Linked DNA regions of Drosophila melanogaster. Changing the gene in region 1 together with any one later gene gives a genetic interaction. Each region holds a gene or a part of one and is shown on either strand. Other genes may lie near its edges.

What was found.
Region 2: of ND-42 (region 1) and out, changing one suppresses a phenotype caused by changing the other (phenotypic suppression), as found in Drosophila melanogaster (one study listed by BioGRID).

Annotation. Positions count from the first base shown.
Region 1 is NT_033777.3:22,025,706-22,029,459, forward strand, and holds ND-42 (NADH dehydrogenase (ubiquinone) 42 kDa subunit), read left to right. Parts: upstream 1-2,003; 5' UTR 2,004-2,315; coding exon 2,316-3,443; intron 3,444-3,510; coding exon 3,511-3,606; 3' UTR 3,607-3,688; downstream 3,689-3,754. Other genes in the region: Cchl (cytochrome c heme lyase), read right to left, coding at 430-685, 743-1,332. UniProt on the Drosophila melanogaster protein: Accessory subunit of the mitochondrial membrane respiratory chain NADH dehydrogenase (Complex I), that is believed not to be involved in catalysis. Complex I functions in the transfer of electrons from NADH to the respiratory chain.
Region 2 is NC_004354.4:19,320,133-19,323,886, forward strand, and holds the start of out (outsiders), read right to left. Parts: upstream 1,975-3,754; 5' UTR 1,524-1,974; intron 1-1,523.

The sequences.
Region 1 (3,754 bases):
TGATAAAAAAGTAGTAAACGTATTTTTATAATTTCGCAATCATTTTAAAGAGCATATAAATAAAATATAAAACTAAAGATTAAGAAAAAAAATTTTTACAGGCATTTTGAACAGATGAGAATTCTGCATATACATAAGTATATCAATAAAAAAAAACTTTAATTAATATATTCCTCCACAATGCTATCAACTCGTTACTGGATAATTCGAAATCCTTAAAAGGATTTAAGTAAAGAATAAAATAAAAAGCAAAACCACATTCGAATTTTGGTGTTCAGAAGTCAAGATTCAACATTTATTTAAAGAGAGGGCTCAACATCGTTTCGCTTCGCAGCGTCTTAAACGCATTTAACCAAACTCCCTCTTCCATCCATTCGATAACTTAAGCCGATTTTGTACCTATAGCGATCATCTAAATATGCATTCCATCTAGTCGCTACCAGCGGTCACTTTGCCGCCATCCGCGCTGCCAAACTTCTCAAACAGCTCGTACTTCCAGCGCATGTAAGCTACGCGCATTCTGTCCCAAACGTTGTCCACGGAGTCCATGGCTGGGCGCACATCCAGCAGGGCAAAGCGGTAGTCTTTGTCCACCAGTCCACCGTCGTAGTAGTCGATGACGTAGCGCACATCCTTGCCGCAGCGATCGACTATCCAGTCATGCCTATCGAATGGCAGCTCGTATCTGTAAGACAATTCGAACATTAATTCAGGTGAGATCTTCCGTCTGGAGTATACTCACCCCAGCCAGCTGCGGAATCGAGCGCGCGGACTGAAGTCCTTGGCCTTGCCACCGAAACTCTTGAGGCGCGGATTGCCGCATTCCTTGGCGTGAAGCGCCTCCCACTTAAGTACCTCCTGCCAGGCCTGCTCGTTGTTGGCATTGTGGATGCGTATGATGTCGCCCATGTCCTTTTGCGATACGTCCTCGGTCTTCCAGCGCCAGCCCTTGCGTAGCATGGCGTTCCAGAACATCTGTTGGCTGGGATACTGCCAGAATTGAACGCTGCCATCCTCGGTGACTTTGGGAATGGTCGACGTCTGGCGGTCGGTGGGCAGTGGAAAGGGCTGATCTGCCGCCGGCTGTTGGTTTGCCGGTGGCATCATATTCAGCGGATTAACGTCGCTGTTGTCGTGCTGCACCGGACATTCGGAAGCGGCCTGCATCTTGGGATGTGGGGGTACGGCGGAGGCCGATTTTGCATCTCCATGCTTCTGATGCATGGGGCATTCTGGTGGCGGGGCACCACTGCCGCTCATGTACTTGGCGTGGTCCACCGGCACACTCTTCGTGGCCTCCATTTGCACTCGGGTGATGGCTGTATTGCCCATTTCTGCTGGGGATTGGTTAATAACAAAATCTGTGTCACGAGGAAAATCGCATTAGTTCTCAGTTGCGTAACTGTAAGGAGTGGGTTACACTCCCAGTGCTGGGCCCCAACGCCAGGACTTACTCGATCCTAATGGTCACAACTCTCGATATTTGTCGATCTTCTCCTGGAGCCTTTCGCCTTAAATTTTGATTTATATTTTCGTTAGTTCATCGTTAGAACTTTTGAGCCCAAAATGCAGCGAGGTTGTGGTCAGGGCTGCCAGACCAACGGAAAGTGGACCAGTTGTTTCTGCACCGTGACAATATGTTAAGTTAAAAATTTAAAAAATCAACTCGCACCGCACGGCAATGTGAGTTTATGGTGTGTGTCTGTCTACAAATGAAAAGCATTGTTGAATTTATTTCAAGTAAATTAACTTGTAGTTAAACACCCCAGCTGTGCTGTGTAGTGTTGAGCAGTCGCTTTGCGATATTTTTAAAAAGTAAAACAAATACATTTATACATTAAAATGTTATTTTGTAAGTGTTATATAAAGTTTTTAAAATACTGGGTTAAATTTCATTTCATATGAAATTCTTTCTGATTCTGAGAAAAGTCGCAGTTAAAGCATAGACAAACATTTTGATTTTACATTTTTGATATTTGAACGGATACCTTGACAGCCCTATTCGGGGAGTTTTCCAACACCAACCATAGCCCGAAATTTGTTTTTGGGTAGACTTCCGATATTTAGATTGAAAAGTGAGTAAATACCACCGGATAGAGCATTAAAACCGACAATTTGGGTAAATCTATGGAGCGCCGCAATGCTGGCCAGCAGAATGCAACGAAAAGATCCGCATATCTGCAGTTCTAGGGCAGAGATTACCGCACTACCTGCGTAGCTCCTGTGATGTAACCACACGACAAATTGCCACTGGACGAGATATAATTGTTATTATCTTGTTTCGTTTTTGTACTGACCCTTGTTTTCCCTTCAGAATGACCGCCGTGTTCCGCGTAGGACTGGTGCGGCTCGTCAGCCGCGCCACACAGTCGCCCAATCTACTCCAGGCGCAGACGAATGCCCTGCCTGCTGCCTTCCAGCAGCGATGCAGCATCTCCGGCAAGACGATGCGAGGTGGACCACGGGTGCCCAAGGCCGCCCCCTATCCGTACAAGACGAAGAAGTACAGCGTGTTCAATGCTATTTTCGACAAGACCTCCAAGCGTTTTGACGAGAACTCCAAGGTGATCTGTGTGGAGGGACCCATCGCGGCCGGCAAGTCAAAGTTCGCCAAGGAACTGGCTGAGGAGCTGGACATGGAGTACTATCCGGCAGTTGATCTGGACCTAATCTACATCAATTCGTACGGCTATGACATGAGGAAGTTGGATCCTCAGTTGCCGCCCAGCTGCCGAAGCTACGATGTGCGCAACTTCTGCCTGGATCCCAGCCACGATCTGGCTGCCCAGTTCCAGATTCGCATGTACATGCTGCGCTATTCGCAGTACATTGATGCCCTGCAGCACGTCCTTAGCACCGGCCAGGGTGTTGTCCTCGAGCGCAGCCCCTACTCGGACTTTGTCTTCATGGAGGCCATGTTTCGGCAGGGTTATCTGTCACGCGGTGCGCGTTCCGTGTATAATGAGCTCCGACAGAACACCATCGGGGAGCTGCTGAAGCCGCATTTGGTTATCTACTTGGATCTGCCGGTCGATGCCGTGAAGAAGCAGATCAAGGCACGCAATGTGGACTACGAGGTGCAGTCAAAGGTGTTCAGCGATGCCTACTTGAGCGATTTGGAGCAGCTGTACAAGCAGCAGTACCTCAAGGACATCTCCACCCATGCCGAGCTGCTCATCTACGACTGGACAGCCGGCGGTGAGACTGAGGTTGTGGTGGAGGATATCGAACGCATCGACTTCAACCAGTTTGAGGCCGATATTCACAACAAGAAGATGCTCGACTGGCGTTTCCCGCTGGAGGCCGAGTGGTGCGAAGCCCGTATCAAGTACTGCCATGAGAAGCCCGATCTGATGAATTACTTCAATGTGCCGCGTTTCGATGTCCCGGAGCTGGTGCGCAGCGCTGACGACGGCAAAGTCTGGCGTGATGTCTGGTTCAATGTAAGTTCGGTGTTTCCATTTCCCTGTTCGATTTCTTTTCACATTAATTCTGCCCCTTTGCACACAGGCTCCCGGCATGAAGTACCGTCCTGGCTACAATGCAGACATGGGCGACGAGGGTCTCCTCACCAAGACGAAAATAGGCATCAACCAGGGCATCTAGAGGGTTTTTGCTATGCTTTCGAGTTGAAATCACCTGGCGAAATGTGTTAATTATCTAATAAACAGTCTAGTAAAATAATCAGAACCCAATTAGTTAAAAAGCGAATATGGTAAATATCGATTGTAAATACTTTTCATACAACAAAACT
Region 2 (3,754 bases), on another chromosome or scaffold:
GACCATTATACATCATCATCATCATCGCACAAACACGTAAGCAGTAGGCTTAGAACTGTTGATTCAATTGAGAATCAAACTAAATGCGAAATTTACCATCAATTTTCCAGATGAATGCGCACGAATGTGCTTCCATATGAAGGCCAAAATGTGGGGGCGCACAGGTGATTCCATTGTTTACCCCATTGCGAAATGCAACAGGTTATCTGGTGGGGAGTTAAGTCGGAATTTCAGACAGAGCATTTCACTTCTGAGCCGATTGCAAATACTATGGAAACCTTGGCAACCAGCAATGGTTATCAACGGCCAACAATATTTGGTTGCTCTTGAATGCCTCGGATGCCTTTTAATCAAATAATCGGTCAATTATAATCCAGGACTCTAGTTAAATCGGTATGTTTTCATAATTAAGCGCTTATGTTTGCTTATGCATTCATGCTCATTTTGGTGCACACCAAAGGATTTACAAAGTATTTTTTACCATAAAGTTGCAAAAAGCAGTAGTGATTACAAAACAGATTATAGATTATGTGCCTATATATATATATATATAGAATACACATTTATAAGTTGAACATGTACATATTCAATGCAGCACTTACATATTGAAATGTGACTTGCAGTGTGGGAAAAATACAGTCTCCTTGATTCAGAATATGCAATTTGGTGCTGTTAAAGCTTTCGATTACTTTCTACAATTAACCTAATTTACTGGTCCACCCTAATGGCGGCGCCATAAATGCATTCCCGCTCTCGAAAACGTGGACTCCTTCCATTCCGGCTTCGGCACCCGGACACACGGATTTCCAGATTCAGGACAGCACCTGAGGCCTGTCAGGCGGCGGGGTGGCGGTGGCTTTGAGGAAGGGGGAAGAGCAAGGCACCAGCACATCATAAAAATGTGTAATTCAATTTGGTAAACATTTTCTGCTCCCCGTCGATGGTTAGATGAAAAAAAAATGCACATGAAAAATGCTGAAACCTTTGGCAAAACTCAATTTGGTTCCGGGATCAGATCAGACTGGGCAGGGGATTATGGTTTGGACTAGACGGATTCCACCCACCATGTGAACTAATCACTTGGCCAGTGGTTATTATGGAAACTTCAGCTAATTCTTAAACTCAATTTGGGTTCTCACACTCTCTCACAGAGAGAGAGAGAGAGAGAAATCCTATAAGGTTTAATTCACGAATTTCCAAATCACACGTTTTTAATGCCTTCTAATTACGGTTTATGCTCAAAAGCAAAGCTTCTGAAAATCCCCTACCCCCAAAACAGTGGGCTACATTTGTCTTGGGCATAGTTTGAAAATTTCACAAAATCTTATTAATCTTCTTAATCTTCTTATATTGAATCACAAATAACAGTCACACATCACGTAAATTAAAAGCATGATTACTTTCTTAAAACGCGTTCCTATCGGTATAGTACATATGTATATTTGCAAATGCAATAAATTCTTGTTCAGTTCTTTTGCCACACTTAACTAACATCTTCACTTGTTGATCGACACGAGACTTACGGTGGTAACTTGTTGCCAATTTGCCTTCGGGTGTGTTGGAAATCACAGGTTAGCCAGATGTCTTGATGATCTGCTAATTCTAGCACTTTTCCCCCTGCGCTGTGTGCAGCACAGAGATTTCAAAAATATATGCACAGTAACAAAAAGAGAGTTCAAATACGACGACGAAACACGACGGATACGGATAACAAACAGCAAGTGCCGCAGAACGGAACAGCGTTAAAAAACAGCGTGTGGCTCAGCTGTTCTCTTCGGACGGCACACAATAATATTTGTACTGCTGCTGCTGCTGCTGCGCTTGGTGTTTCTAACAAACAATAACTCTTTCGTGGTAGCCAACTTCTTCTTTCGCTCCGTGTACGTCCGCTCGTTGGTGTGTTTACTGTTACGCGGCCAGCAGTCGACTTGCTGCTATTCCACTGCTGCGGTCTGCTTTATAGCATTCTCTACGCCAAAGCAAAGCAAAGTCACTGGCAAAGCAAAACGGCGGAACGAGAGCGAGATGGTCGGAGAGAGCTGGCCCGTACACTGAGAGAAATTTGCATTGGGCAAGCAAGAGAGAATGTAAATCTCTTGACCAAGGATCACATTACACATCACATGCTTGGCATGCTAGCAAATTCCCAATTTTATTTATTTTATATAATTACGTTGTTAAGCATAAGCTTATGAATGTTTCGGTTCTGAAATTCGTTAGCTTAAGTCCCTGGTACAAATTTGTAATTAACCGAAATTAATAAAATTTTTTTTTGCTCTGTACCGCCGGCGGAAGGCGGGAAGAGTGTGAACTTCTCTCTTCGTGCGTGGGCAGCGCCAGGATAGACGACGATGCACCGTAAGTGCAGCAGGAATCGCGGCAGAGGATGCAATGCAGCATTTAGCCATCCCAATTAGCAGTTGCCGGGCAATAGCCTTCCCTCTCTCTCCACCTGTCTCTTTCTCTGTCTCTCTGTCTTGGCCTGGGCGACCCCTCTCTATCGCACTCTCACAAGACCGGCTCAACAGTGGGCTGTGATGTGATTTGGCAAATGTGTTTACACCATCATGATGACGACGTAGAACTTGGACTGTTGAATAGATCCGCTCAGAGATCTTATTGCACTGAACAAAAATTCCGTTTCTTTTGACATGTTTTTGTTTAGCTTTGAGCTGAACACGTTTCTAAATTAATAAGAAATATAATAGAAATTATTATGCTTAACTAATTTTGGAAAAAGGCAAAATTATTGGCTCAAATTAATACAAAAATATAATAAGAATAAGAATAATTATCTGCGTTCAGAAATCATCTTATGGGAAAAAAGAGAGAGCTACAAACAGACAGAGAGAGAGAGAGAGACAGAGAGTAAGGGGAAAATAGATCTTTATAGAGCCGCTCTATGGCCGACCAACTGTTGCCACTTGCCGGCCACACAGCAAGTTCAAAGGTCGCAGGCCAGGTAGACAGTAGCCACTAATTGGTTGGTAGACAAATACCCATACACAGAGAACAATTTTGAACTTCGGTGCTGATGAATACAAAAAAATAAAAATGTATGCACAAACATATGCAAATGAATTTATAATTCATACCTGATATCTATTGCATATTTAGGTCCTTTAAAACATAAAAACATTAATGAACTCATGATTAACCAAAGTTAACTGTGTAGCAAAATTTGGTTGGGCTAGATTAAGTATTGAGTCCTCACTCGTAGCAACCCCTAAGAGGTTTTCTAGGGTTAACCACAATTAACGATCGTTTGGTCGCTCGTAAAAAAAAAGAACAATTACGATTTTATCCCTTCCTGTAATATTTTAAGGATTCCGTATATCCTATTTCTCATTTTTACGACGGCAATAAAGTAATTATGTAAACCATTTACCTTAATCCCCATCAATTTAAAGAAAAGAAAATCCAAGCTTTCGATCATTTATCAATTAGTAATGAGCCAGCCATCCTTCATTTGTCAATCCTTGCGGTCCCATCAATAAGTTACCAAGTGCACAGCGAATTAATTAATCTGACTCACGGTTCTATTTCGGTTTCACCGCATTGCTCCACTGTGCACTCTGCCCACTCTCTCTCTCTCTTTCTGGCTCGCCCGCGCTCTCTCACCCAACTCCCACTAGTTCTCCCCACATGAAAACTCCTTAGATACGACGACACAAGTAAGTCGTTTGTTCCGGCGGCAACCTATCGCCCCTGTCACCTTAACCTTGCACTTGGAGAAAGTGTGATGGCCAATGGA